Bombyx mori: one gene and its partners. The protein of the gene in region 1 interacts with the protein of each later gene in a pairwise test. Links are inferred from orthologs where the notes say so. Each region holds a gene or a part of one and is shown in the gene's direction. Other genes may lie near its edges.

Evidence for each region.
Region 2: the proteins of intersectin-1 (region 1) and epidermal growth factor receptor substrate 15-like 1 interact in a two-hybrid assay, tested with the Caenorhabditis elegans proteins (3 studies listed by BioGRID). The link is inferred for Bombyx mori from reciprocal best matches to the Caenorhabditis elegans genes itsn-1 and ehs-1.
Region 3: the proteins of intersectin-1 (region 1) and epidermal growth factor receptor kinase substrate 8-like protein 1 interact in a two-hybrid assay, tested with the Caenorhabditis elegans proteins (2 studies listed by BioGRID). The link is inferred for Bombyx mori from reciprocal best matches to the Caenorhabditis elegans genes itsn-1 and eps-8.
Region 4: the proteins of intersectin-1 (region 1) and synaptojanin-1 interact in a two-hybrid assay, tested with the Caenorhabditis elegans proteins (2 studies listed by BioGRID). The link is inferred for Bombyx mori from reciprocal best matches to the Caenorhabditis elegans genes itsn-1 and unc-26.
Region 5: the proteins of intersectin-1 (region 1) and protein neuralized interact in a two-hybrid assay, tested with the Caenorhabditis elegans proteins (2 studies listed by BioGRID). The link is inferred for Bombyx mori from reciprocal best matches to the Caenorhabditis elegans genes itsn-1 and F10D7.5.
Region 6: the proteins of intersectin-1 (region 1) and tensin-1 interact in a two-hybrid assay, tested with the Caenorhabditis elegans proteins (2 studies listed by BioGRID). The link is inferred for Bombyx mori from reciprocal best matches to the Caenorhabditis elegans genes itsn-1 and tns-1.
Region 7: the proteins of intersectin-1 (region 1) and dynamin interact in a two-hybrid assay, tested with the Caenorhabditis elegans proteins (2 studies listed by BioGRID). The link is inferred for Bombyx mori from reciprocal best matches to the Caenorhabditis elegans genes itsn-1 and dyn-1.

Annotation. Positions count from the first base shown.
Region 1 is NC_085117.1:634,271-638,980, reverse strand, and holds the start of intersectin-1, read left to right. Parts: upstream 1-1,608; 5' UTR 1,609-1,743; intron 1,744-2,682; 5' UTR 2,683-2,709; coding exon 2,710-2,832; intron 2,833-3,605; coding exon 3,606-3,704; intron 3,705-4,246; coding exon 4,247-4,325; intron 4,326-4,710. Other genes in the region: MIP18 family protein galla-2, read right to left, coding at 1-104, 935-1,211.
Region 2 is NC_085125.1:116,993-121,240, reverse strand, and holds part of epidermal growth factor receptor substrate 15-like 1, read left to right. Parts: coding exon 1-180; intron 181-1,664; coding exon 1,665-1,867; intron 1,868-2,153; coding exon 2,154-2,439; intron 2,440-2,546; coding exon 2,547-2,834; intron 2,835-3,148; coding exon 3,149-3,316; intron 3,317-4,248.
Region 3 is NC_085133.1:7,052,229-7,055,444, forward strand, and holds the end of epidermal growth factor receptor kinase substrate 8-like protein 1, read left to right. Parts: intron 1-187; coding exon 188-392; intron 393-1,593; coding exon 1,594-1,709; 3' UTR 1,710-2,453; downstream 2,454-3,216.
Region 4 is NC_085118.1:11,390,864-11,395,787, reverse strand, and holds the start of synaptojanin-1, read left to right. Parts: upstream 1-1,640; 5' UTR 1,641-2,211; coding exon 2,212-4,924. UniProt on the Caenorhabditis elegans protein: Probable inositol 5-phosphatase which regulates synaptic vesicle recycling in neurons by regulating clathrin-mediated endocytosis.
Region 5 is NC_085130.1:17,967,980-17,972,712, forward strand, and holds the start of protein neuralized, read left to right. Parts: upstream 1-1,632; 5' UTR 1,633-1,801; coding exon 1,802-2,009; intron 2,010-4,733.
Region 6 is NC_085110.1:9,862,861-9,866,998, forward strand, and holds the end of tensin-1, read left to right. Parts: intron 1-1,220; coding exon 1,221-1,335; intron 1,336-2,029; coding exon 2,030-2,068; 3' UTR 2,069-3,034; downstream 3,035-4,138. UniProt on the Caenorhabditis elegans protein: Probable phosphatase which regulates axon regeneration after injury by linking the svh-2 and integrin signaling pathways.
Region 7 is NC_085121.1:5,672,471-5,676,718, forward strand, and holds part of dynamin, read left to right. Parts: intron 1-569; coding exon 570-777; intron 778-1,094; coding exon 1,095-1,232; intron 1,233-2,672; coding exon 2,673-2,830; intron 2,831-2,965; coding exon 2,966-3,072; intron 3,073-4,248.

The DNA of each region.
Region 1 (4,710 bases):
TTTGTTGACCGCATGTTCGGAAGCGTGAGAGCCCTCCGATACTTGTACGGTCACTTTGAAACGGCTTGGCAGAGCTCGGAGTAGTTGAACTCGTATTGAAAGACCTGAAATAAAAATCAAATCTCATTAATTAAGCTTGCAGTACTTTTTTCCGGAAGCTTCACAACTTTAATTAGAACTATAACAGAACAGATTATCTACAAAAGTGTTTAACTGCACTAGGGGAATGAACAAGCTCACAGCTCTCATAGTTTATAGCCATTACAGATGTCCGTGGACATCACATTGGGACAACTGCCACCCATCTTGAGTCCTGAACTCGAAGTTTGAGCAACTCGAAGTTTGAGCCCTATTTTAAAATTACTCTCTCTTAAGCAAAAACAATAATGGTTCAAATTGGGAATAGGCTAGACAGTAGTGACTATTCCGTGGACAAAATATCAGACTAACGCATCCATATTAAAACAGCTCAATATCCAAAGGCTTTCTATCGTCTGCTTCAGGAAGATATTTGAGTTCTTCGATCATATTGGCCGAAAGAGAGGTGACAATTTTGAAATATAACTGGCGAGATCTTTTCAACTGCCTAAGATGAGAGATGAGAGATAAGAGTTTACGGTAACCCATTATCAATCCATTGAAAATGGTCAGCGGTAGACTGCACTTTAGTTGCACCCCTGAAATTGCTACCTTCCATGAGGGACTGTAGCTACTCCCCACCAAGCGGGCTGTATGATCGTCTACCCACGCAATTAAAAAAAGGAAGCTGTTCGTTGGCTGGGCATGAATGTTTATTTGCTTGCCAATAAAAAAACATTAGTATGATAATATTAATTTAGAAATATTGGCTGTTCCACCATTATCGGTGTGCGTTGGTTATGTGTGTGTTACTCTCTCATTAACTATAGGTTTTAATGCTAAAAAAAGTACGTACCTATCAGAGTCGCCATACTGCAATGGGGAATTGTCGGTGTAAAATTGACTAATACAGTACTATCATCGTTATTAACGATTATATTCTTCTCTTCCACCACCCTGAGCTCCTCGAGTGTCAATGGGTGTTCAGGATCATTTATATTTCGTATTAAATCAAATATTTCGCGATCATCAAATTCATCTTGCAAGTCTTCGTCGCGTTCCGAAGAAGTGATCTCCCGTTCTGAACCCTTCTCGTAAATGTGAGGGTTGATGTTATCCGCTGTTTTGGTCATTTTATAAGTTCGAACTTTTTATTATATCAATTCGTTCTACTCAAAATATATTTTTTGGTACAATTTTTCCTTATTATGAAAGGCAAGGGGATCTAAGCCCATACAGCCTTTCTACTCAAAATAATAACTCACTTCTATCTCTATCTCTTTTTTTTAGGAATTTTATGACATGGTAACTAAGATCTTTAAGTCATATCTTATTTTAGTTTATATTCTTAATTTTATGAAAAATGACAGACGCTGCTAATGTAATTCATATCTACTTACACAGAATAATAATGGCCAACATAGACAGTTTCCTTCGTTTTTTATTATTTATAAACGGCAAAATAATTAATAATTGACACTGGCTAATGCACAAACCGAGCGAGCCACAATAAAAAAATTAACTGTCAAAAACCAAATTTCGATTTTGACAGTTGCACCCAATCAAAAAATCAATACTTTATCTAGAACTTTGAGGGGTTTTACTCGATCCTTTTTCAGGAGGATCAGTCTTAAATCTATTCTCTTAGGTCAAACAACAGTTAAAGTAAGTAATACATTATGTAATTCCCTAGAATTTAATTCCTAAATATTTGTTTTAGTTCGCAGACACACCCCCTGCCTGTTGGTACCAAAAGAGTAGTAGTACTTATTATTAATTTATTGAACAACGTTGATTTTAACAAAAAAATGTATTGAATATTAGTGCTTAAGGTATCTTTAAACTTTATCCGGGTCACGGAGTTATAAAACAACGAGCTAGCAATATTAAAAAATTAAGAACATTATCTTGAACTGCTCTACCAATTGTAGTATTCTAATACTTATTGTATGTTGAGTTACTTATTGTATGTGACACACGTCTGTACGTCGAGCAAATATTTTAAATAGAACTTAGGTACATCTTTAATAGATTTAGAGAAGTGATAAAATATAGGAAAAATTTAGAAGTCTACTTTTCACTTGATTAATCAAGGCTTTTTCGTACTTTATCATGACCTACCATATTGGAGACATTCTATTCATACAATTTGGCTAAAGACACCGCTCCTGATTGTCGGGAAAAAGTTAACAAAAACATGTTGCAATGTCTATTGTTTAAAATCAAACAAATTTTTTTAATAGTACAACATAAACCTTAAACCGTGATATGCATTTCTTTTTTTAAATTTGATAAACCAAGATATGCAGAAACATGCTCATAATAAGATATTATCTGATGGTTTATCTAGTTCAATATTATAACTTAATATAGATATATTCACCTGTTCTAATATTAACTTCCCAAAGGAAGCATTGTTTGATTTCCAAAGACAACATTAAATATACAATGCCAAATTAAAATATTCTCAAAATTACTGCATTAATGTCAATCAAAATGTTGAAAATTAAACAATGAAAAAGGATTAGGATTTTTCTATGATTATAAATTTAGGCTTCCTGTAATGAAGACTGCATACATACTAAGAGGTATATCTTTTTTTAGGTTCAAAGAAACGTCTTTAATTCAGAAATGATGGCGGACCCGTGGACTATACAAGCACATGAGCATGCGAAGTTCTCGGAGCACTTTAGAAACCTTGGACCTGTCAATGGAAATTTGACGGGCGAACAAGCTAAAAGATTCATGTTACAGGTCAGTTAATTTGCGTATTTATTATAAATCTAGAACTTTTTTTTTTTATTGTCCTTGTAGGCAGATGGGCATACGGCCCACCTGATGGTGAGTGGTTACCGTCGCCCATGGACTTCAGCAATGCCAGGGGCAGAGCCAAGCCGCTGCCCTACTGCTGCCTAAAGTTAACTCAAATTTGTATGGATATGGAACAGCGCCCCTAGCGACCAACGTAGGCAAACGTTCCAACTCCAAACAATTTTTTTTTTTCATATTTATTTCGTTTCATATAAATTTGAGTTAACTTTTACGCGATCGAGAACGTTAAAACACTCGCACTAAACACACGAGATGGAATAAAGAGTAAATTAGGCTACTTCTATTTTAGAGAAATTCTAAAATTATTTTTACACGCTGGGGTTCGGGATAAATAAAATTTCCACAAATACAACCACAGTACAAATTAAACACCTAAAATACTTCGTAATTCGCTTTTTCCGCTTCGCTTCAGGTGATCCGTTCGCTGTTTCGCTTCGAGTAGTTCCGATTTCTGGCAAGTCGAGTCGTGTGGATATCTGTTTCCGTTATCTGACAATAGATGGCGTTGTACTTCCCGAGCGTTCTCGAGTTTACTAGTTCCTTTGATATTCACTTCTGCCATTCGACAACAGATGGCGTTGCTCTTATCGGCGTAACATTATTATAGAATAAAGTAATATTTTTTTAATTCCACGCAGACGAATTCGCGGGCACAGCTAGTTTAAAATAAGTTTTGTTTGTCTTTCTGTTCACAGTCTCAGCTTCCTCCACCGGTCTTGGGACAAATATGGTCACTGGCGGACACGAACGCCGACGGTAAGCTGGATTTGAAGGAGTTCTCTATAGCTTGCAAGGTGAGTTTCTGTGTAGTCTTCATAATTTGCGAATGTGCCAACGTCCGTATCCGGTTGAAAAATCGCTCATTAAAAATAACGATGTTAGGATATCGATATTTCCAAAAGTGAAACATCGATATAAAAAACATCGGTTCTTATGGACTATATATACATATATTTATTATATAGAAGCTTTTTTTAAATTTTTGCAAATAAAGTAACCTTTTTTTCGATCATAATCGATGTTCTATCGTACACAGACATAGGACGCCACCTTATGTTCTATCCGTGATCTTTTTTTTATTGCTTAGATGAGTGGACAATCTCACAGCCCACCTGGTGTTAAATGGTTACTGGAGCTCATAGGACATCTATAACGTAAATTCCACCACAAACCTTGAGATATGAGTTCTAAGGTCTCAGTATAGTTACAACGGCTGCGCCAACCTTCAATGCGAAACGCATTACTGCTTCACGGCGGAAATAGGTAGGGTGGTGGTGCCTACCCGTGCGGACTCACAAGACATCCTACCACCAGTAAAATTGTGTGTTCATTACAGATTATAAACTTGAAACTGCGCGGCTTAGAGGTGCCGAAGATGCTTCCACCATCTCTGATCGCCTCTTTAAGCCCCACAGGTGAGTCTCAAGTCTCGTTCGCCCGGTGGAATGTGACCGGGATCCCGGTGGGATAATCACGGGTATTTATGTAATGATACGGAATATTCCAGAATTAATGAACAATAAAATACTTAATTACTTTTCCTGTAATAATACTAAGAAATATTAATACGTGAAGCAAAAACTTTACCCCTTTTTTTACGAAAATCACGCGGACGGAGGAGTTTTCAAACTACCCACACTTATAGAGAATAAAGAGAAGGAGTGCAGAATGTTAATATTTTTTTTCTAAATTATGCATAAAAATACACTAAATCAATAAATAAAACATTACACACACTTTGACAATACAACTTTGACAACACATATTATTGTCAAACTTTTGTTTATTGTTTAAAGTCTG
Region 2 (4,248 bases), on another chromosome or scaffold:
ACGAGCCTGCCCCCCGAGCTGCGGACTCGGCCCCCCCCTCGCCCTCCCTCGCGGCCCCCGTCGCGCCCCCCCTCGCGGGCCCCCTCCCCCGTGCAGACGGCCGCGCCGCCCCGACCCCCGCCGGCGCACTCCGCCCCCTCTAATGCTGATCTACTCGAGGGCCTACTCGACTTATCAGAGGTATGTCAACTCATTTTTTTAAACTTAAAGAAACTTAAATATAAAAAATCATCGTTTGACAACACTTTCATGAAAAACACAATGAAACGCGTACAACAATAATATCCATACTAATTTTTTTAAATGTGAAAGTGTGTTTGTTTCTCCTTTTCTTGCGTCCAAACGAACAGCGGATCGACATGATTTTTTGAAGTGACAGTATTATGTTAGGGCTACCCTTATCCCGAGAAAACTTCTCAATCCCACGGAAAACTACACTGAGACTTTTCCTTAACCGCGGGTGAAGCTGCGGGTAATAGCTAATCCAGAAATAAATACACAAAAGGACAATGCCCATTTTCTATGGGCGTTTGGGCCCCTAAAAAAAGTTGTCCTGTCATGATGGTTTTAACTTATTTTGATAGACAAAAAAATATCGTTTCATATTCATAAAACTATTTTTATATTGTCACCCAGGTTTAAGAGAAATCTGTTTTTTTCTGCAGCTAAAATTAAGTTGTTAATTGTTTTCTTCGAAATCAATAATCGCTCTCATAATTATTTACAGTATTAAATAAGTTAATTGTGCTTAATGTTGCTAGAAATAAGCCCTTACGTACATTTTATTATTATTATATCCTCATAATAATAATAAAATGAAATGAAAATCCGGAAGCCGGCAACGATATTGTTGTTGTTGTTTTTAAATTCACCAATAAGCAGGCAAAGAGTGTAGCCTATACAGCCTAGTCTGTCGAAGTTATATATTTTTTATGTCAATAAAAAGCCGGTGTATCTCTTTTTATTGCTTTTTGGGAGTTTTGAGTTCAACTCGACGAATACCACATTGACTGAGGCTGAGCATGAGCACTACGCAGACCTTTTATACACAATATTACAAATACAATAATACAAATTACACAATAAACTATTAAAAAAACATTAAAATAAAAATTCAAGTGACGCGACGTTTCACCCGGGTTGCTGCCAAAACTCTCTGATCATATATAATAAGAATAGAGTAATGGTAGGCCATTGATATTTTTACTAATGGAATCATTAATATCTAAAAATATTAAATAAAATAACTCATGGTTTTAAGTAATAATTATTATTACAATATATAAATATTGAATTGAACAAAAATAAACTAAGAAGCCTGTGAATTATAAGCATTAGCTATTTTGTTTTAATTTGTTGTTCATGTCACAAACAACTCTTTCGTTTGATAGCATATAGGTTTGCTATAAGGCTGTATGGGCTAAGCCCTTTGCCTATTGGCGAATTTAAAAACTATGGCACTCAGTTTTGGGATGTTATCAAATAAGTAATTTATTTTTTTGGAAAACAATGCCAGGTTGAAAGAAATGTTGATACATAAACTAAACAACGTGAAAAAATAAGGCATAGTTTTTCAAGTACAAATAGTTTTGACATAAAGTTGACCCACTTTTGGGCATTGTCCTTTGTTCATTAATTTAATTTGGCATAATCCTCGTGTCCAGGATGCCGCACAAGTCCTGGCGGGCGGCGCGGGGGGCGGCGCGGCGGACGAGCGCTGGGAGCCCGTGAGCGAGGCGGAGCTGGCGGCGCTGGAGCCGCAGTTCGCCGCCGCCGACCGCGACCGGGACGGGTTCGTGTCCGGGGACGAGATCAAGCACGTGTTCCTCACCTCGGGCCTGCCGCAGCACACTCTCGCGCGCATATGGTCAGCAACCTGTATTGTACTGTCCCTACATGCGCACCGCCGCCTCGACTAATTACTTAATTTTTAATTTTTTTATTTCAAAGAAACCAACAATTTAGATTATCTTAATAGAATATCAGACAGGAAACAGATAGCCAATTAAAACAAAAACAAGTGAAACCTTTAGACAAACTAAAATAATAGCAAAGCTATATGCTGAGTAATGCTGTGAAGCAAGTAATATTTACAAACTGAGTGAACGCATCCGTTTGTTCGTGTAAATGTTAAGTGCGAGCGTCGCCTGCAGGGCGCTGTGCGACGCGGACGGCGCCGGCAAGCTGTCCCGCGTGCAGTTCGCCGCCAGCGTGCGCCTCCTGCAGCGCGCCCAGCGCGGACTCTCCCCGCCCCGCGCCCTCCCGCCGCGCGCCCTGCAGCCCCCCGCGCCCGCCCCCGCCGCGCAGCCCACGCCAGAGCTCGAGGCACTGGCGCGCGAGGTGGAGGCGCTGGGACGCGAGCGGCGCGCGCTGGAGCAGGACCTGGGCGACAAGCAGCGCGCGCTGTCCGCCGCGCACGCCGAGACGCAGGCGCTGCAGGTCAGCCACGCGCACGCCGCGCCACCCGCCCCGCCCCGCCCCGCCCCGCCGCGCCCCGCCCCGCCGCGCCCCGCCGCGCCGCGCTGTAGCCCGCGCTTCTGTTGCAGAGCGAGCTGGAGACGCTGACGGCGACGCTAAAGCAACTAGAGAACCAGAAGGGCGAGGCGCAGAAGCGGCTGCAGGACCTGAAGGCGCAGGTGGAGCGGCTCCGCGGGCAGGCCGCCGCGCAGGAGGCCGCGGCCGCCGAGACGGAGGCGGAGGTGGGCGCGCGCAGGGCCGCCGCGCTCTCGCTGGCCGCGCGCCACCGCGCCCTCACCGATGACCTCGCCCTCATGCAGGAGCGCGCCACCCTCGCGCTCGCCGCGCTGCCGCAAGCCGTGCTGGCGCTCAGCCAGGTGCGGCCCCTTCACGCCACTAACAAATACGCATTCTTCTGGCACGAGACACCTTTGTTATTAGTCAGTCCTTTCGGAGAAAGTCGCGCAGATTCCTCCCAATGCCCTTGCCGCAGCACGAATCAGTGGTAAAGTCATGAAGCATTAGACGCGCCCGTGAATGAGAACTTTATTTAAAGATATTTTCGTTTTAATTGATAATAATGGGAGCATGTATTTCTGCGAATACAAAGTGTGAACGCACACCCACAGCGCTCGCCCACAAGTAAACAAATTGTCAATAGCGGCCGAGTGACCCGCTCTCCTCTGTGCAGGCCAAGATCAAGATCTCTCACCTGGAGGAACACTACCGCGCGCTGGAGGAAGCCTGCGACGCGCTGGAGCGGGGCGCGGCGTCGCACGTGCAGTTAGCGCTGCAGCCGCTGCACGCGCCCGCGCACCTGGAGCGCCTCGTGCGCGGAGCCACGCCCAACGACGCGCTGGTACGTACAGCCGCCGCCCGGAGCCTGCAGCACGCGCACTCAGCGCTGCAGCCGCTGCACGCGCTGGTACGTACAGCCGCCGCCCGGAGCCTGCAGCACGCGCACTCAGCGCTGCAGCACGCGCACTCAGCGCTGCAGCCGCTGCACGCGCCCGCGCACCTGGAGCGCCTCGTGCGCGGAGCCACGCCCAACGACGCGCTGGTACGTACAGCCGCCGCCCGGAGCCTGCAGCACGCGCACTCAGCGCTGCAGCCGCTGCACGCGCTGGTACGTACAGCCGCCGCCCGGAGCCTGCAGCACGCGCACTCAGCGCTGCAGCCGCTGCACTCGCTGGTACGTACAGCCGCCGCCCGGAGCCTGCAGCACGCGCACTCAGCGCTGCAGCCGCTGCACGCGCTGGTACGTACAGCCGCCGCCCGGAGCCTGCAGCACGCGCACTCAGCGCTGCAGCCGCTGCACGCGCTGGTACGTACAGCCGCCGCCCGGAGCCTGCAGCACGCGCACTCAGCGCTGCAGCCGCTGCACGCGCTGGTACGTACAGCCGCCGCCCGGAGCCTGCAGCACGCGCACTCAGCGCTGCAGCCGCTGCACGCGCTGGTACGTACAGCCGCCGCCCGGAGCCTGCAGCACGCGCACTCAGCGCTGCAGCCGCTGCACGCGCTGGTACGTACAGCCGCCGCCCGGAGCCTGCAGCACGCGCACTCAGCGCTGCAGCCGCTGCACGCGCTGGTACGTACAGCCGCCGCCCGGAGCCTGCAGCACGCGCACTCAGCGCTGCAGCCGCTGCACGCGCTGGTACGTACAGCCGCCGCCCGGAGCCTGCAGCACGCGCACTCAGCGCTGCAGCCGCTGCACGCGCTGGTACGTACAGCCGCCGCCCGGAGCCTGCAGCACGCGCACTCAGCGCTGCAGCCGCTGCACGCGCTGGTACG
Region 3 (3,216 bases), on another chromosome or scaffold:
ACGGTGTTTCCCGAACGCATTGACATGTCCTTCTTCAAACGAGACTTGTGGAGAGTATTAAGTGATAGGCAGCGGCTTGGCTCTGCCCCTGACATTGCTGAAGTCCATGGGTGACGTAACCACTCACCATCAGGTGGGCCGCGTGCTCGTCTGCCTACAAGCGCAATAAAAAAAAAAACTATTTCAGAAATCGAATCCGGACGAGGTTGTGGAATGGCTCGAAGCAAAGGGTTTCAGCAATGCCGCCCAACGCCAGCTGAGGATGTCGGGACACCAGCTATTCGCGCTGTCCAGATCTCAGCTGGAGAGGGCACTGGGCCAGGATGAGGGGAAACGACTGTACAGCCAAATTTTGGTCCAGAGGAACGTGTCTGGGGTGAGTGGAGTCCACGGTGAGGCTGTCATAGCTTTAGATATTAAGCCTCTGACGATTTGCACTGCATCATCTCACATCCATTTGCCTTAACCAGATAATCTCGCGTCAGAGTTTGGAGGATGAGATCCAAAAACATAAAATAGCATAATGATAAAATCTTGAAACTCTTTAAATCTAAATATGTTAATACGTGAACGTGAACTTTGTACCCCTTTTTACGAAGATTGCGCGGAAGGAGGATTATGAAATTTCCCACACTTATAGAGAATATAGAGGAGTGCAACATGCTAATTTTTTTTTTTAATTTTAAACAAAAAATACATTAAATCAATAAATAAAACATTACACACACTACCATGTATTTGACCCACACATGCATTTTACTCTTTTGTTTATTGTTAAAGTATTTTTTTAAGGGATTTTATGACCTGGTAACTAAGAACTTTAGGTCTAGCGTTATTTTAATTTTAATAAAAACTTCTTTACATGAAAAATGATATTATATGAAATGAAATGAGGCTGATTAATATGAAACATGGCATGAAATGAAATGAAATGAAAACGAAATTAAATTAAATGAGATGAAATGAAATGAGTTGAGATGAGATGTGATGATATTGGATGAAATATAATATCAGTAAAATGGTGGTCATTTACTGAGATTTTTTCAGTGGACTTTTTGGAGTATCCCCAGTAGCTACGTTCAGCGGCTTTGTTTCATTTTCCCACATTTGTGCACTTTCACAGATACTAATCAGTTAATAAACCAGCGTTATTACATATTTAAACCTGAAGAAACACTAAATAGACAAAATAAAACAAATCATACAACTTCATTCCTCGCGTTCCCGCCAAAAAGTCTTGTTAAAGTCTGTGGTCTAATTGAGAATTTATTAATATTGTTTGTCTTTATATTATTAGTCTATAGCGTAACCTTGGCGAAACCTTTAATTGTAGAAGTATAGTTTTTGATAATAAACCATAGTAATTTTCTAATTTATAATTTAAATTAATTATGGTCGAATTTTGACCACTAGTCCAATAGTTATGATAATGTTACAATTTGGATCGTTCTAATTATATTTCCTAAATTTGTTAATTTATGTTCATGCACCATAGAATTGAATTTCCAATTATTTTTTTAGACAGTATTCATATACCTACTTGTATGAAATATAATATGTTTGATAATGATGATAATGATGTATTTGTTCCAGTACAAGACGACCTCGGCATCAGAGCTTCAGAGCATCCTGAGGAAAGTACGAGAGAAAGTCGAAGTCTCATGATGGAGTACCTCCCAGGAATCGACGAAGATGCATCCTATTGTTAATGTTTAATTTTAAAACGTAGATTACATTAAGAGTGCCTATCCAACGGAGTGGAGCTAGCCAGTGTAGCGGAGAAACACCCTTAATTTGACATTTAAGAGATGAAAATGTTTGACTGAAATTGTTTTTTTCAGTACATTCTGCGATTATACATATATGACTATAATTACTTTAAGCTGAATGTCATTAAAATTAGTAGTAAATATTACTACTGCATTTTATTTTTACTATTATTACTAGTATAGGTAGTATATTTATTAGTATTAACAATAGTATGTAATTTTCTCACAATTGTTATAGTACGTTAAACATAGCACGATATTGGGGACAGTTGTCATAAATTCCGTTTGAAAAACTATATTCTAGGACGTACGAAAAGAAATAAAATTAGTTTTATTCACCTAAGCCTATTCTTCAACAACTGTCCCGCAATCAAGCTACATTTAAAACACTATTTATTTATAATGTTACGATGACTCTTTGCTCTTCTACCAGACTAAGAATAATCGAAATATAAACGATACTACAAGAGATCGTTCAATTAAAATTAAAACTAACATTATTTTTATACTTTTATTATTTGTTTAAGTAATTTATATTATCTAAATAATATATATTGTGTTTAATAACATTAAAGTGGAAGTAAAAGTGACAAGATGTAACAACAACACTCAATTTCAAACAACTTTTGATATTTGTTGTATTCGTCCATAAACTATAAGTACTAATAAATTATTACGTTTTAATGTCTATTTTACTTGAGCAAAACTTATTTTACTTACTTGAGTTACTCGAGTGAGACTTTAAATTAATTTCTACGTGTTTCTTTTATTATTCCAATATGAACTGTATTCGATTACTTAGCGCAATTCAATAACCATTACTTTAAAAAAAAAGTTTAGAAAATATTAACAAATTTTATAAATACCTTGAAATATATTTTAAATATTCACTGCAGTTATTTTTTAGTAATTAATTGAAAATGTTATCGCTTTTTAAGGCGTTGACATCAACAGTGGCAGAAAGAAGGTGGAGCCGATGCCTAAAAAAAAATTTTCCTGTGACATGAACCTCTTTCATCCATTTATCAACGTCACCCCTTCACAAATGTTCATTATTTATTAAAATAAACATTTTTTACTTGTTTCTGCGACCTGAGTATCATATTATACACCGCATTGATAAATGAACCTTAAAAATGCTCAAGTCATGACTACTTACCTTCTTTGAGTTGAAATTATAAAAGGTCATAAAAATTTGAATAGTACACAGAGTAGGAATATAAAGATATAGGCTAAGCTATTTGTTTAAATAAAACATATAATGACGTTATTTAAGTACAAACAAAGGTTTAACGTATTTGATTTAATAAATAAATGGTAATTAATCTTGCGTTTGTTTGGAAAACTCACAGGGCTCAGTCTGAGAGAACTTAATAACACTAGCCCTAGCAAGAGGACGACCGCCCGTCCGGCGTCCCGAGGGGGAGGGTGATGGGAGAGATGTGCT
Region 4 (4,924 bases), on another chromosome or scaffold:
AATCAATAAAAAAGGTACGTATTTTGTATTAGACACATTTTTTCCGTTCTTCTAAATTATTCCAACAGCATAAAACGAATAAAAGTCATTGACATGTCACCAAAGTATTGATTTATTATTTTGACCTTGTTTACGATTCAAAATTGGCGTATTTAATTTTGTAAGTAAATACGCCTTAAAAGACTAAAACTGGCCGCATAAATACGCTTAACCTAATGATATTATTTAAGTGCATTATTTTTGTACGAGTAATTAATGACGCACTATAAAATCACTAGAATGTAGGCAATGAAATAAATTAAAAAAATCTTTAGAAATTCATTTTGGTATCTATAATCCATTTTGTTAAATTGTGTTTAAAATCTTTAATTAGGTAGGTACCAGATGGTGGGTGTCACTGAATAGTAGATACGTAGTAATCAGAGCGTGGTTTTAAGCGATATAGGTAGGTACTTAAAAAATTCGATCATCGACTTTTTGGCGGGAACGCGAGGAGCGAAGTTGTTGAATTAATTTATTTTATCTATTTAGTGTTTCTTTAGATTTAAATGAGTAATTACGGTGGTTTATTTACTGTTTAGTATCTGTGAAAGTGCAAAAATGTGGTAAAATTAAACAAAGCAGTTGGACGTAGCTTCTCGGGATTCTCCAAAAAGTCTCAGTAAATTACCACCATTTTATTGAGATTATATTTCATCCCATATCTCATCTCATTTCATGCCATGTTTCATTTTAATAAATTTCATTTCACTTCCTAATGCCGTATCGTCTCATTGCTTCGACGATGTGGTGTTGTGTTCCAATCGTTACATAAATCAACATTAAATTATTAGAAGAAAAAAAACGCGGGAAACATTGGAATTTGGCGGACGCTGTTTTTGTGCTGAATTTGCTTTTCCTTCGTTTTTTATTATTCATAAACTTTACAGCTTAAAGGTTTTAATTAAAACGGGCGAATTATAAAAATCTTATTACTTGACGCTGGCTAACGCACAAACTGTACCAGAGCCAAAAAATAAAGAAGAAGATGAAGAAGTCGATCATCGAAAAGCAGACAAGTAATGTATTATACCTGGGTAGTCTTTGAATGAAAGTAGGTACCGTACTAATAGTATCTATTGAAAAGTAACCTCATACCAAAAAGAGTTTCAAATTTAATTTAGATAGAGTAAACGTTAAGTTGATTTCCGCCTGTTACATAACACTTGTCTTTAAATAAAGTGAGTGTACCAATCGTTAGTGTAATACTTTTATTGTTGGGTAGGTCTCGTTAACGTACTAACCGCAACGTTAACGGCGAAAATGCAAATCAAAACAGTGTTGTCATGAAATTAATGTTCGTTATTATAAGTCGTGCTAAGAGGATGGTAATAATGCATAGATAGATGTAAACATTTCATATATATGAAGCTTAATATTCCAGAAAACAATGGGTATGGGAATAAGAATATTATATAAATTTTTAAATATACCATGCTAGAAATTCATTTTTGTAACAGTTGTGTATTTTCAATGATATTTTTTCAATTATAAAATGACATCCATTTTTAATCTTATTTTCTTGTAACATGTGGTCCAAGACTCAATTGTACCGTAAATCAATATAGAACGGATTGCTGGTGTGCTGCCATAGTAATAGAGTAATAGATAAAGGTCGATGGGTTTTAACTCAGCAAGCTCAAAAATGTCCCAACACCAGTAGGTAATTACGCAATTCACAAGTTTAACGGATTTGATTTTTATTTTCCAATGCAATTCTTTTCTCGTTGAAATCGTTATGGAACTCGACTTAGATATTTTCTAATAACTGATAAATAACTAACTAACCCGCAAGACTCAGGCGTGTTTTGAACTCCTGCTTAGTCGCAGCACTCGATACAAATAAAGCGTCTTACCATTGTTTTAAAGCTATGTACGTTTACAATAAGAAAGCTTCCTGATTTCCTGATTTAAAAAGCTATTCCAAAAAGCATACGTAAAACTTGAAAAGTGTTAAGCGCTTGTCAATTTTAAGCCGTTTGTCACACCACTAGTAGCATAGATTAAATTGGATAAGCACTATTCACTATTCTATGGGTGGATTGATTTGATTGAATTCATTCTGTCCACCAAGTCGAAGATTGGTCTCGGTTATTCTCATATAAATTTATAATTGTTATTTGACTTATCTTAAAAGCTAATGGCGTGATAATCGCCAAATAGAAACTAAACATGGCTATGTCCAAAGGCTTTAAAGTTCTGGAGAAATCATCGCCCCCCAGTCCGTATAGCATAATATTACAACACAGAAACAAAGACACTGCACTTCTTTTCGAATCTCAAGCCGTTGTTTCCTTATCATCGCAAGAAACAGAAACTTTAAGGAAACAATACCATAAAGTTGCAGACGCTTATGGATGTCTTGGAGTACTTCAGCTAAATTCTGGTGAAAGCTGTCTTCTGTATCTTGTGTTAATCACCGGATGCTCTTCTGTTGGTAAAGTGGGGGATTTAGAAGTATTTAAGATAACGCAAACTCAATTTCTGCCACTGTTCTACCAATCGCAAGGTGATGATAAGGTTTCGGAAGTCCGAAAATTAATTAATTCAGGTACATTTTATTTCTCTTGGTATTCTGGCAAAAACAATGATAATCTTTTTGATTTGACTCTGTGTGCCCAAAGAAAAAGTAAAGGAGCCAACCCTGATAATAGGTTCTTTTGGAATAGAACACTGTACATACATCTAATCAGATATGGCATAGATTGTGATGAGTGGCTAACTCGAGCAATGTGTGGATCTGTAGAAATACGCACTATTTATGTTGGGCATCGTCAAGCTAGGGCTGTACTTGTCTCAAGACTTAGTTGTGAAAGGGCTGGAACTAGATTTAATGTGCGAGGTTGTAATGATGATGGAAATGTGGCAAACTTTGTAGAAACTGAACAAGCTGTTTACATTGATGATTCTGTAGCATCTTATATACAAACAAGAGGGTCTGTGCCATTGTTTTGGGAACAACCTGGAATACAAGTTGGCTCACACAAAGTAAAAATGTCAAGAGGCTATGATGCATCAACAAGTGCTTGTGAGAGACATTTTGCCCAGTTAAAGCGTAATTATGGATCTGTAATAGTTGTAAATCTGCTTGGATCTAACATGATTGGGGGTAGTGAAGGTGAGGCAACATTAAGTAATGCTTTCCAGAAACACATTAATGAATCTCCACATTCTGATGTCCTACAAATTGTTTTTGACTATCATCAGGAAGTAAGAGCAACATCCCAAGAGATAGCTCTATCAAAATTTAAACAGAATATTGAGAAATATTATGATGAGATTGGGATTTTTAGTGCAAAAGGGTCAGACATTTATAATATTCAAAAGGGAGTTATAAGGACCAATTGCTTGGATTGCTTAGATAGAACAAATTCTATTCAGACATTTATTGGTTTAGAAATGCTTGCTGTTCAATTAATGCTACTACAATGTCTTGATAAAAAACAAAATGTTAATAGATTTGAAGAAGTTTACAAACAGATGTGGGTGAATAATGGAAATGAAATATCTAAAATTTATGCTGGAACTGGTGCAATTCAAGGAGGCTCCAAACTAATTGATGGAGCTCGATCTGCTGCCAGGACTATCCAGAACAATTTATTAGACAACTCAAAGCAAGAAGCAATTGATATTTTATTACTTGGTTCAACATTAAACTCTGAACTGGCAGACCGCACAAGAATACTGTTGCCATCTAACATACTACACACTTCTACAGCTATCTTGAGGGAAATGTGTCGTAGAACGAATGAATTCACTCAACCTTCAACTCTTAGAATAACTATTGGCACATACAATGTGAATGGTGGTAAACATTTCAGAAGTCTTGCTTATAAGGATGTTTCATTATCTGACTGGTTATTAGATTGTCCAAATTCATCTTTGGTAAATACAGTCAATCTGAAGGATCATCCTTCTGACATATTTGCAATAGGCTTTGAAGAAATAGTTGATTTAAATGCTAGTAATATTATGGCAGCTAGTACTGATAATGCAAAAGCATGGAGTGAGGAACTGGAAAAAGTGTTAGGCAGAGATGCATCTTATACACTTCTGTCTAGTCATCAACTTGTTGGAGTATGTTTATTCATATTTGTTAGAAAAGATTTAATACCGCATATCAGAGATGTAGCACTTGATTCAGTTAAGACTGGACTTGGAGGGGCTACTGGGAATAAAGGTGCTGTGGGAATAAGAATGGTAATTTATGGAACCTCACTATGTTTTGTTTGTGCACATTTTGCTGCTGGTCAATCACAAGTTACAGAGCGTAATGCTGATTACACAGAAATTACTAGAAAAATTGCATTTCCCATGGGTCGCTCTCTGTACTCCCATGACTATGTATTTTGGTGTGGTGATTTTAATTATCGTATAGATTTAGATAAAGATGAAGTACGCCTTTTGGCTTCACAAAATAATTTGCAAAGGCTTTTGGAGCAAGATCAACTTTTACAGCAAAAGTCACAAGATTTAGTTTTCAAAAACTGCTTTGAAGGAGAAATTACATTTCCTCCAACTTATAAATATGATCTATTTAGTGATGATTATGATACCAGTGAAAAATGCAGAGCACCAGCATGGACTGACCGTGTATTGTGGAGAAGCAGAAAATATACTATTGATCCTGAAACCACATCAGAATTATCAGCAGGGAAACTTCTACACTATGGAAGGGCAGAATTGAAACAAAGTGACCACAGACCTGTAATAGCAATATTAGAAATAGAAGTGTTACAGGTCAGCTATACAAAATGCATGGAAGTTTTTTATGAAGTAGTAAAAGATCTGGGTCCTCCTGATGCTTGTATAATTGTGCAACCATTACAAGACCTTAATACTGACGAGTCTGTATTTGATGATAATGTCATGGCTGCTGTACTCC
Region 5 (4,733 bases), on another chromosome or scaffold:
AAAAAATTCATTCGTTCGATTAATATGGTTTTAAAAAAAAATTAAACAAAATCTATTTTTACAAGTTGGCTCCTCATTTTTTTCTTTTCTTTTTTTCGATAGGTTAATAATTTTTTTTACTATTTGTTTGATCAATTAAATTTTATTATTCGATTGTCTTTATATATTTTTATTTGTTTTTTTCCGGAATTAATTTATAGTTTTTTTTTATTATTATTATTACTATTATTACACAATACATTGAGTCACGTGTTAAATTGTTTAACTCATTAAATTAAAGATGATATTCTATGTTTTTAAAAAACAGATTACTTAAGGTCTAGACATTTTTTGAATTGGACTTAAACTACATAGAGTACGTTTGGGGCGGAACAGTGTTACTTTTTTTTTATTTTTTATTTTTCTAATTTTACCGTATACAAGCGATGAAGCGGCTTATGAATAAAATAGAATGGCACTCATTGTTTTTTTACCTATAAACTACGAGTTATTATCAGCTTAACCTTACAGGACAATTAATGTATACAAAATTCGACATTCTCTTTGGGTTTTTTTTAATGAGCGTAAATGAACATGATTTTTTTTTATTGACCTTGCAGAGTAGTTTTTGCAGACGAGCAAATGGCCCACCTGATGGTGAGTGGTTTCCGTCGCTCACGGACATCAGCTTTTTTTTTTCCTACCCAAGCTGAGAGTCTTGAGAGGCTACTTCAGCGGAACCTTAACTAGTAGGTGAGCTCACGGGGCTTAAACCTGACGGCGTTGCTAACACGAACCCTAGCAAGAGTCGCGCTTCGCAGAATCTACCACCGGATCGGAAACGCGACCCACTGAGAAGATCCGGCGAGAAACTCAGTGGGCTGTGTCTGTGGGTTAATTTACTCGTCGAGCCACGGGTTCGACGAAAACGGTGACCGGCGTTTGAGGTACCTAAAAGCACCGTTAGTGGATCGGGAAGATCCGAAATGACGTGTCTGGGGCGACGTCGACTGCTTTCCATTCTTTCCGCAGGATCGGGAATGGGACATCAGCAATAGCACGAGCAAAGCCAAGCCGCTGTCTACCAAAATATAATTCTTATAGTATATTATTATGTAACGGCAGGGCGTTATTTTTCGTTCGTATTTCGAAAACGCGAAGCGTCCAGTGGATTCGTTTGCTTCAAATTCTGCGAATCAAAAATTTAACTAGTGCTGTTTTGAGGTTTTTTTTATTGTTTGGATGGGTGGACGAGCTCACAGCCTAACTGGTGTTAAGTGGTTACTGGACATAGACATCTACGACATAAATGCCCCACCCACCTTGAGATATAAGTTCTAAGGTCTCAATAGTTAATAGTTTCTTTAGTCTTGTATAAAAAAAAAGCATCTCCTAATGATCTCCGGGCCGTTGTTGTTGTTGAATGAAATAAAATTAATTCAATACATGAAGACACTGTCCAAAAGTAATGGCAGTATATTAAAAAAAAAATTAAAAAAAAATATACAGTAGAGTTCACGGCTCACCTGAAGCGTGAAGTGTGGAGCGACTGTAATAACGCAACTGCTCTCTTGCGTCTCGCTTTAATATAGTGCGTGCGAAAGAGACAAACGCTAAGGGCACGTTTTGTATGCGCGCGCAGCTTTCCCGACGTCCCCGCGGCGTCAGTCGAGCGTTACGCTTCGTAGTAGTCAGTTGGTTGTCGTGTCGCGTCGTGAGCGATCGCAGCCGCCGCGTAAATAAATAATAATAATAAAATAATCAAAAGTTAAAAAGTGATGAATTAAACTGTCCCACGTAAATATCAAGTTAAATCGTTTAAATGATGGGCGTTGGTGGTTGTGTTAGCGTTCGGCAGGCCAGAGGTGTGTGCCACTGCCCGGCCTGCCCCAGGTCTTCAGGACAGATGCCCCCTCAGACCTTGGTCCTACCTCCGATGGCCATGACGGAGCCGGAGACTACCCCGGTGAAAGACAAAAAAGGATCGAAAATGAAAGTTTTGAAGAAAATCAAAAAGAAAATAGGCTTAGGTGAGCGATTGTAATATAACTACCCTTTTTTTTTTGTTTTTTCCTACTTATTCTAGTAACTTCTAGGGGCCATGCTAGAGTGGGTGAGCTCACGGGACTCTAACTTGACGACGTTGCTAACACTAGCCCTAGCAAGAGCAGTCGCTAAATCTACTACCGGATCGGAAACGCGACCCACTGAGAAAATCCGACGAGAAACTCAGTGGGCTGTGTCTGTGGGTTAAGTAATTACCCTCTGTTTAATAGAAATATAAAGTGTGATGAAACTACCGATTGATTAGTGGCCGAAATGCGTGGGATGTCTGTCCCGTGCCGTTGAAGTTATTGTGATTCCATCAACTTGGATCATGTGGGCTTCAGAAGCTAATAATCTCTGCTTTGTTCATACAACAAAAGATCACCTTTAAAGATTTATAATGAAAATTTAACGGCCATTAAATTAACAATGCATTAATTTAATTTTAATCACCCACATTAGGGAAATCATTTGATGCAATTATAATTCTTTATGGAGGTATTTTAACGATATGGTCGGTCAGCTTACTAATTGTTTTAACATTTAATAATTGTTCGATTTGGAAGGGGTAGGAAGGAAATAGCTTTTTTCCCGACCTATTTCCTGATAGTCTAAGAAGCTATTCCAGCTACGCCTTGACGGGTAGGTGAGCTCACAATCAAATCAAATAAAAAAAAAATTATTCAACATACATACTTGATAAACGTCAAAAAGAACTACCGCCAATTCACAAAAACTAGCCTCCGTCCTGAGAAGAACTGGCAAGAAACTCAGCGGGCATATTGTCTTTTTTTTAAATATGTATTAGATTTTTTTTTTATATTTTTTTTTACAATGAGTATTATAACATAACAATTATTGCAATATTGAAATGCCCGGAGCGAGCAACTCATTCCCACTTTGTGCAATCTTCTAGATAATCATTGACTTTATAGTAAGCTTTATTGCACAGACGTTCTTTAATAGTTTTCTTAAACCTATGTATATGTAGGTTCTTCACGGGCCCAATCTAAGAGGATTTGCTAACACTGGCCCAAGCGAGGGCAGAGCTTCTCTTAATCTACCACCGGATCGGAATCGCGACCCACGGAGAAGATCTGGCGGGTAATCTAATAGAAGCCAGGGCGTGGTATCCTCGAATACCATCTCGTCTCTCCCCGGGACGTGGTAAAAGACTGTAGGATTCTTTGTCTATTTATTCGTTAGTAGTCTAAGAGGCTATTCCAGCTACGCCCGGTCGGGCTCAACCTGAGAGAAATTAAAGGATTCACCAGAGAATGGACAACAGCAATCTCTTAGTATTGTAACGTAAAACGAACCAAATTTACTGGTGGTAATTGCACTCTCCCACAATAGCGGTAGCTAGTTAACATATTTTAAAGTGTAGCGCACATCTTGAGATGGGAGTCTGACATTCGTGATGATGTCTGTCCGATTTCTAACATTGGCTGAGGTCCATGGGCGACGGTGATCACTCACCATCAGATGGGCCGTATGCTCGTCTGACTGCAAGGGCAATAAAGAAAACGGTCCGGCAACCACTTAACATCAATCGGGCCGCCGGCTAAAATAGTAATATAGTCACAAGTTACCAGGAAACCATGATCTGCGAGGAGATATTAAACAAGATAGTTTCATCTGTCAGTTTAATAATTTTTTCTGCTACGCACCATCCGACTTTGGAATGAGCTCCCCTCCACGGTGTTTCTCGAGCGCCATGACATGTCCTTCTTCAAACGATGCTTGTCGAGAGTACTTAATGGTAGGCAGCAGTTTAGCTCTGCCCCTGACATTGCTGTAGTCCATGGGCGACGGTGACCACTCACCATCAGGTGGGCCGTAAGCTCGTCTGCCTACAAGGACAATAAAAAAAAGTAATTAGGAGTAAAAGTACCAGGATAACATGAGATACGTGGAGGTATGTTATGTATAATTTAGAACAATTTTGTTTTGACAAATTACCGCCAAAATACATTACAATAGGTACCTATTCTGAGGTTGTGAATCCTCAGCTGTCCGTGGACATCACTGACTTAGACTAAGCTTTTTTTTTCTCTCCAACTTTTAAACTTTAAATTGTTCTTCTGTAAAGTTACAAAAATGTCGCTTAATACACAAATGGCCTTTCTTTCACCCCTCGATATATGTGTGTGTACATATATGGTATTATAAGGGATACGTTCCGTACGTGACAAAATAAAAACATACTTTAGTCGTAGTTGTAGTAAGGTCAATTTTCTTTAACAATAGTAGAAGTTGGACCATTTTTTTAATATTATTAGAAGTTGGAATTCTACCGTGAAGCAGTAATGCGTTTCGGTTTGAAGGCTGGGGCAGCCGTTGTAACTATACTTAGACCTTAGAACTTATATATCAAGGTGGGTGGCGCGTTTACGTTGTAGATGTCTATGGTCTCCAGTAACAATTTAACACCAGGTAGGCTGTGTGCTTAGTGCGAGTTTCTGGACAGAATGGAAAGCAGTCTACGTCGCCCAAAACACGGCATCTCGGATCCTCCCGATCCACTAACGGTGCTTCTAGATACTTCCAGCACCGGTCACCGTTCTCGTCGAACCCGTCGCTTGCGACGAAGGGCTCGACGAGTAAATTAACTCTCGGACACAGCCCACTGAGTTTCTCGCCGGATCTTCTCAGTAGGTCGCGATTCCGATCCGGTGGTAGTTTCTGCGAAGCACGACTTACTAGGG
Region 6 (4,138 bases), on another chromosome or scaffold:
CTAGTTTGAGATTTTTACGAGGATTCCATCATTTTTGAACGTAGTGCTTGTCTCGTGCTCTACTGTCCCACTCGCACAAGAAGCATGGAAATTTTGTATATAAGTAAAAAAGCTATAAAAAAAATATATATATATATATATAAGTAAAACGTAAGATTTTTTTTAAATAAACACACTAATTTCAGTAAAAAGTTTATAAACAAAGTAACTGTACAGGTTTATTTGCATGTAACCTGTTTCGAATGGGTGTGTCGTTGTTGCAACAAATATATTTCCTCACGAGAGGTCGCACGATTCGAGAAAAGAGCGCCAAAATCTAAAATTTAATTTATTTTAATCAAAAAATTTAAAATAGCTAATGTCTTAACTTTTTTAAAAACCTGATGTGATACGATAAAATGAGGTATAATTTCGTGATCAGCACTACCAAATTAGTGGAAAAAAATAATCAGAACTTGAACAAGGAAAATGATGTCGGCCAGTGATATGTAACTGGTAGAAAATAAAAAATAAATGTTGCAAAGATGATTAATATTAAAAATATCACATATTTTAAACCTTTAAAACACTCTCCTGTAAAATTAATAAGTTTTGAGATTAGATAGTATTAATGCGAGAAGACGATTTATTGTATGGGTCAGAAGGACCATCTCACGTTTTGAGAATAAGAAATGATGTGTGGGAGTCGAACGCGCTTCGACTCAATCCGATATTTTCGCCACTCATTGCCTTGTTACCCGTCAGCGCAAAACGCGCAATTAGGAGATTGACTAGATTGTCAATGTCCACTCACCTCGATTAGTCCTCTCGAGACGCCGGACCGATGGTTGGCACACTGTCCAGACCTCGACTAACATACACCATGTCGGCCATATTGAGTCTGGGCACTCAAACATGATTCAACTTGAGAACGTAACCGATTCAGTCGTTGTCATTAATAACAAAGCATAGAGCACTTTGCGTCTTTGTCATAAAGGCCAAATCGTCGTTGAGGATACCAAAAATATTTAGAAAGCAAACGAGATCGTTCCTCTTGTTCCCAGCTCGACCACAAGGAAATCAGAGTAATCTCACTTTCCAGCGCTTTCTTGTACTGACACTCTTGTTCACGCAGTGCTGGCCTCCTTGCTTTGTACAGCGGAATCATTACACCCAGCTTCGAAAATAGCAGATTTTGGTTTGACAACGACGATAAGCTCCTATCACCCTGTTTGTTTTAGACGGATATTCGCATTCGTCGCTCGGTCCGCATCAGGGCAAGACAACCAGTGCCACGTGTTCGCCGAACTCGAACCTGAGCAGCCGGCTACTGCCATCGTCAACTTTGTTAACAAGGTTTGTTTTAACAATTTTTATACTGGTGGTAGGACCTCTTGAGTCCGCCCGGGTAGGTACCACCGCCCTGCCTATTTCTGCCGTGAAGCAGTAATGCGTTTCGGTTTGAAGGGTGGAGCAGCCGTTGTAACTATACTGAAAACTTAGAACTTATATCTCAAGGTGGGTGGCGCATTTACGTTAAAGAATTCTATGGGCTCCAGTAACCACTTAACACCAGGTGAACTGTGAGCTCGTTCACCCATCTAAGCAACGAAAAAAACTACGTACACAATTAAGACTTGGACCTCGTTTCGAAGCGAGTGATGGCGCGTTCAGTTATAGATTCCGATCATCTCTTAACTAAATCAATATGAACGAATGAGGGGTGAAAGGCAGTTGATTTAAGCGAGATTTCACTTAATACGCGACATTTATCTTTGTAATTAAAGGTGCGTTTTATTTGGTATTACCATCAACAGTTCGATGGTTTTTTTTAATTGAATTTCAGTTAAGCTTATTCTATTCAAGTATCTGAACGACGTTTTTTTGTTTTGATATTTTTTTCAAATTTTATACTTTCAACAGCCATCTTGTAAAGTTGCAAATATGTTGCTTCAACCAAATAGGTATTCATCCCTCGACATTATCGTTGAATGAATGACGTGTGAACTAATATAATAATAATTTTAAATGCAACATTTAATACTTTCAGGCTCTGCTGGGAAATGTTCAGAAGAGGGACATTCTATAATGAACATTTTTCGTTCGAGAGAAAATACAAAAAAGCTACAGTCGTTATTTAAAAAAAAAAAACCTTGTTGTAATCAAACTTAATCTATTATATTTATCTAAGTTCATATAAATTAACTTGTTGTATTTAAGTACATAGTAACGATGTATTTATGCTTTAAACGTTTTTAATGCAACATTTCAAAGATTATCATTTTCAAATACGCTTCGTTTTCACCAAGTACAATTAACGATGTTATGTTTTAATATAATTATAATTAATACTACATCATATTAATATAATCTTAGAATTAGGCGAGCAACTAACTAGTCTCATATTAATTTAATATAGACGTAGTGATATTATATGTGCCTAATAATATATGAATATTGTAATCCAATAAACATGTTAATTGTGCTGTATTAGAGTAAGTAAATATATTGATATAGTTAACTACATTCTTGGAAGATCTGCCAGTGTTGCCTCTAAGTGAAGTGAACTTAGCGATAAATATCATTAGCGCGATACAGAACACTCTAGTAGTTCTCTGTGCAGAGCACAGATGTCGCCACTTGTTTAATGATTATTACCAGTACAACGAACTTTACAATAAATACAATTCATAATAAATTCTGATGTTTATTAATATTGTTGTGAAAGCTGTATGTACAAAAGTAATTACAAAGTACAATTAAGACAAAATTTGAACAGTTTAAAGTTCAAAAAAGCTAACAGAATCAAATAAAGCTTTTGTAATACGTATATCTTTAAAATATATTATATTTGTTTCTAACATTTCAGAAAAAATCGTTTTAAATAAATAGAAATGTTAATTGTTCAGCATGTACTTAGAACATAGATATCACGATTACCTCACCCGATTAGCGAAAGAAATAAATTTTGTACTACGAGTAGTTACATATTATTTAACTGCGTAACTGTTTTAAAATTTATTTATTGTAATATTACATATACATATTAAAACAACCGCTTGTTTTATTGAACTCCCTAATTTTATGAAGTAAGTAAATAGTGTACATTTGATAGGTACCTGACAATCAAAATCATACTTATGAATCAAGCAAAAAGCCTGTCTCACTGTTTAAGATTGCACTTTAGGTGTACTAGGGTATTGTTATAAATGGTTACCATAGATATAATAGTGAAGGCCGCCATGTTGAGTTATAAGATGGAAGTCTAATTTTGTTTTTGTTTTTTTTTATTGCCCTTGGAGGCAGACGAGCATACGGCCCACCTGATGGTGAGTGGTTACCGTTGCCCATGGACTTCAGCAATGCCAGGGGCAGAGCCAAGCCGCTGCCTACCGACCTATTGATTTTAATTAAGACCTATTGTAATCGACCTATATTTTTATCAAACTACCTACCCATTTGACAAAAACACATAATAATATATGAACACAACGCATTGAAGTGTATAATGATACACAATCGCTAATATACGAACCACAATGGTAAATTTACTGGCAAGAGACAAAAATTTTCGGAGGAAGTTTGGAACGAAAAGTTTTTGACTAATTAGAAACGAAATAGAATACGCTAGACTACAAAATTATAATATATATAATAATATATATAATATATATATAAAAAAAATAGAATGACTACAAAATTTCAACTTAATCGGCTAAACGCTACGCAAACCTAAAGAGCACGAACTCACAAAATATGTACTATGCCAAACGATTATTTAAATAGAGGAATCAGGAGAATTACGATTATATTGCAGGAACCACCCCAAGGGTGCTAATCATCTAGAGCACTTTGCATGGATACTATGGAATGCTCGTAGTCTGTGTAATACTATGTTCAGCAGCAGATATTAGTTTACATTTTTCTTCATAATAAAATATGTGTATTGAGATATTATTGTAGATTTTCCCTATTATGTACCTATATGTGATTTCTATAAAATCTTGGATTGATCTAAAACAATATCGGAAGCGGGTCGCGATTCCGATCCGGTAGTAGATTCATTCGCGAAGCAGTTGATCTTGAGTTGTTAAGTCTCCTTCGGAGGCGCTCGGGTAGCTGTTAGCATATCCCACCCCTCCTAGCTGAGCCTTGGCTC
Region 7 (4,248 bases), on another chromosome or scaffold:
ATACAATATTTGTATTTTACTAAATGCACCTTGCATTTTATAAGACATATAAGGACGTATCTTTACATGACCTAAATGTGCAAACAATAATTGTCAACAGAGTTAAGCATAGCGCTAGTAACAGTGAAACTCATTGAATATTGAAATCAGAAAAATGATTGAATATTTAAAATCTATTTGTTGATTAGCATTTGTTTAATGCATCAACGAATCGATATTATTTGTTAAAATAGGTCATTTATGGGCAGGATAGGGTAGTTTTCAATCTGTTCATACCTGGTAGAATATAAATGCTTATATTAACCCTTCTTGAAAATAATTACTTTTAAATCATAATTAGTTGGTACATCAACAATAACGCTAAAGACGAACACATCCGGTAGTTGCCGTTGGATTGTGTGTTTTGCATGCAATGTAACAAAATAAAGAAATCAGCTGACACGCGCGGTCATTGACCTCGACGGAACGCTGGTCCGTCCGCAGCTGTTTTCTGTGCGCTTAAAAAAACGACAAGTATTATAATTCTAAATAATGAACAAAGTAGCTGATGTTTATTAATTTATCGACAGAATGATTCAGACTTTGCAAACCGATTTTGAACGCACCATCGAAGGTTCCGGATCGGCGCAGATCAACACCAACGAATTGTCCGGTGGCGCTAAGATCAACAGGCTTTTCCACGAACGTTTTCCTTTTGAAATTGTCAAAATGGAGTTTGACGAAAAGGAACTGCGCCGCGAGATCGCGTTCGCCATTCGAAATATCCACGGTATCCGAGTAAGTCAACTATATTTTTAACCATTTGACTGAACGCACTGAAGCAATTATGAAGCGATTTCTGTTACTAAGGCGCCGAAACATCTAGTATTTTTATGGCAATTATATGTGAATAAGCTTACAACGCTTCTGGTGTTTGGCGATGCCTGGAACTCATAGCCGTCATCCACCTTGAGATGTTAAGTTTATGTATTTATAATTGTCATTCGACACGAAATAGACATCTGTAGAAATTTAATTTGCATAAGTCATATTGAGATAGTTTACAAGGTGGGTTCGTTGAATTTCGCTAAGTATCAACTTAATTGTTTTGATAGGTGGGTTTGTTCACACCGGATATGGCGTTTGAGGCTATCGTGAAAAAGCAGATCGGACGTCTGAAGGAGCCGTGCCTGAAGTGCGTCGATCTGGTTGTGCAGGAGCTGTCCAACGTTGTACGGATTTGCACCGAACGAGTATGTAACATAATTCGATAACGTAATTAAATTTTACAACAGCAATACATTATTATTATTATTTTATTGCTTAGTTTACTTTAGTATTTTTACTGGTGGTAGGACGTCTTGTGGTAGGTACCACCACCCTGTCTATTTCTGCCGTGAAGCAATAATGCGTTTCGGTTTGAAGGGCGGGGCAGACGTTGTAACTATACTGAGACCTTAGAAACTTATATCTCAAGGTGGATGGCGCATTTACGTTTTAGATGTCTATGGGCTTCAGTAACCACTTAATACCAGGTGGGCGGTGAGCTCGTCCACCCATCTAAGCAATAGAAAAAAAATAGTTGGAAATATTTATGAGGTTTTGGCACATGGCAAAGTAGTTACTGGAGTTCATAGACACCGCAGGGTTAATGCTGACAGCCAAGGTTTGTATAAAAAAAAAACTACATCTAAGCTTATTAATATTGTTCTTTAATTGCAGAACACATACATACAACAAATGTATTTAGACGCTAGCCACAACGTAGCATACGGCAGTCCTTAACGTAGAAATGTTTGGTTTTGAAAAACGTGAATACTCTCAGAATTTTAATACGTTTAGTTGAAGATGTTGGTCTTTGTTGTCTGTTTTGATTAGCACGGTGAGGTGACCATAAATTTGGAAAGATATTTTTAGTGAAATCAGCCCGAACCTAGTTATTTTTCTTTTTATCTATCACATCTTCAAAAAAAAATCGGTAGACTATATACGTTCTCATGAATACAGACACGTCATCTCGGATCCTCCCGATCCATTAGCGGTGCTTTTAGGTACCTCAAGCACCGGTCATCGTTCTCGTCGAACCCGTCGCTTGCGACGAAGGGCTCGGCGAGTAAATTAACTCACAGACACAGCCCACTGAGTTTCTCGCCGGATCTTCTCAGTGGGTCGCGTTTTCGATCCAGTGGTAGATTCTGCGAAGCACTGCTCTTGCTAGGGTTCGTGTTAGCAACAACGTCAGGATTGAGCCCCGTGAGCTCACCTACTAGCCCGGTGACGCTGACATACTTCTCTAGGCTAGGCTTCTCTAGACCATCAGATTAGGTAGGAAAAAAAAATGAATACGCCATGACAGGGTAATGAAGCACATGCATCTATTAGTAGACAAGCTGTACCCATCTGCTTCGCTGGGCATTTAAAATTAACATTATTATTTTTCACCCCCACAAAGATTCTCATCATTAACGCCCTCGCAACTGGTGTAGGGAGTTCAACACTCATATAAATATTAGCCCATCCCTTAAAGTACATGTATTTTTTACATGGATACCAATTCTCAAGTCAATCGGATGCATGGTTCAGTAGTTACAACGGAACATCCGTAAAAACCACTGTAGATTTATATATTAGTATAAATACAACAACAACATAATCACACAAAACATTAATCTTATTTGACATACAATTTACAGATGTCTCGTTACCCGCGCCTGCGCGAAGAGACGGAGCGCATCATAATGTCGCACGTGCGCTCGCGGGAGCAGATGTGCAAGGATCAGCTGGTGCTGCTCATCGACTGCGAACTGGCTTATATGAATACCAATCATGAAGATTTCATTGGATTCGCGAAGTTAGTAAAATATATTTATATTTTGAATTAAGAAATGAGAACATCCCTTTTAAAGATAAATGATGTTGAATTGTTGACGGATTTCTCTTCTTCTCGTCTTGTATTTTATATTACATATTTTCTTTTCGGCAACAGCGCACAAAATCAGTCTGAGAACTCTGCGAAGTCAGGACATCGAGCGCTCGGAAATCAGGTGATCCGAAAAGGATACATGTGCATTCACAATCTGGGAATTATGAAGGGTAGGTTTTTTTCTTAAATCGTTATATGCATTAGTTGATATGTCCGATTTCTGCTTTATTATGTAATATAAATTAATTTTAATATTTTCGGCTGTGTGGCATAGAAAATCATGGCAATTGTTCCCACGGGTTTCCTTTAAGGCGACTAAGGCCTAGGCCGCACTACGGTGAAACCGCAGCGGCTATTAACCGTGTGAGTTTACGAAACACGAAAACGAATATAAGCGGCCGCACTTGCGGTTCCTTCCCGCGACTGATTTTAAAACCGCGAAATGTTTCAAAATTGTTGCGGAAAAAAACCGCAACAAAATTTATAATCCATAGAACTAGGTATCCGTGCACGCACTATGCGTAACCGCGGGCGGTTTTTTGAAATGTCAAATACATTTGCGAAATTTTGTTTCCATCAACTGACATCCGATAGTAATTGAAAAAAATCTCTAAGTGTTTTCTTACATTTTGATATTTCTTATGAAAGAAACCTTTCTCAAATCTACGGCTAGTAAGTAGATGGACCCATCGTTTGTGAAATTTTCGTTGTCGTTTTTTCTATTTCTTAGTACCAGAGCAACACTACATACTGGCTCTTTTGAAATTTATCCATCTGCAAACTGTGAAAATCGCGGGCAAATTCGCGGTTAATAATTGTAGTGTGTGAGTCTGAAGCGGTTTCGCGGTTATAGCGGTTAACCGCTCACGGGAAAAAACCGTAGTGCGGCCTAGGCCTAAGGGATTCCCCGTAGAGTGAACAGCAGTGTTCTCTGAGTATTATAAGTATTTTATAAGAGTTTAAATTTCATGCTAGACACGGAGCCTATAGTTAGAGATATGTTGTCAAAGTTTTGTGTGTTACGCTAAGTCTATATTTTATGTCTCTCATACACATAAATAAAAAAATTTAATTGTTATAATGATCTTAGAGATTTATACATAACAAATATATTTTATTTATCTTTACCTAAAAGTATATACATATAAATTTACAGTGGTTTTTACGGATGTTCCGTTATAACCACTGAACCATGCATCCGATTGACTTGAAACTTGGTATCCATGTAGAAATTAAATGCACTTAATGGATAGGCTAATATTTATTATGTGGGGTGAGAAATAATAATGTTAATTTTAAATTAAAAACAGCTAACCTTTACTAGTTATATTGTTTTTTAAATTTTA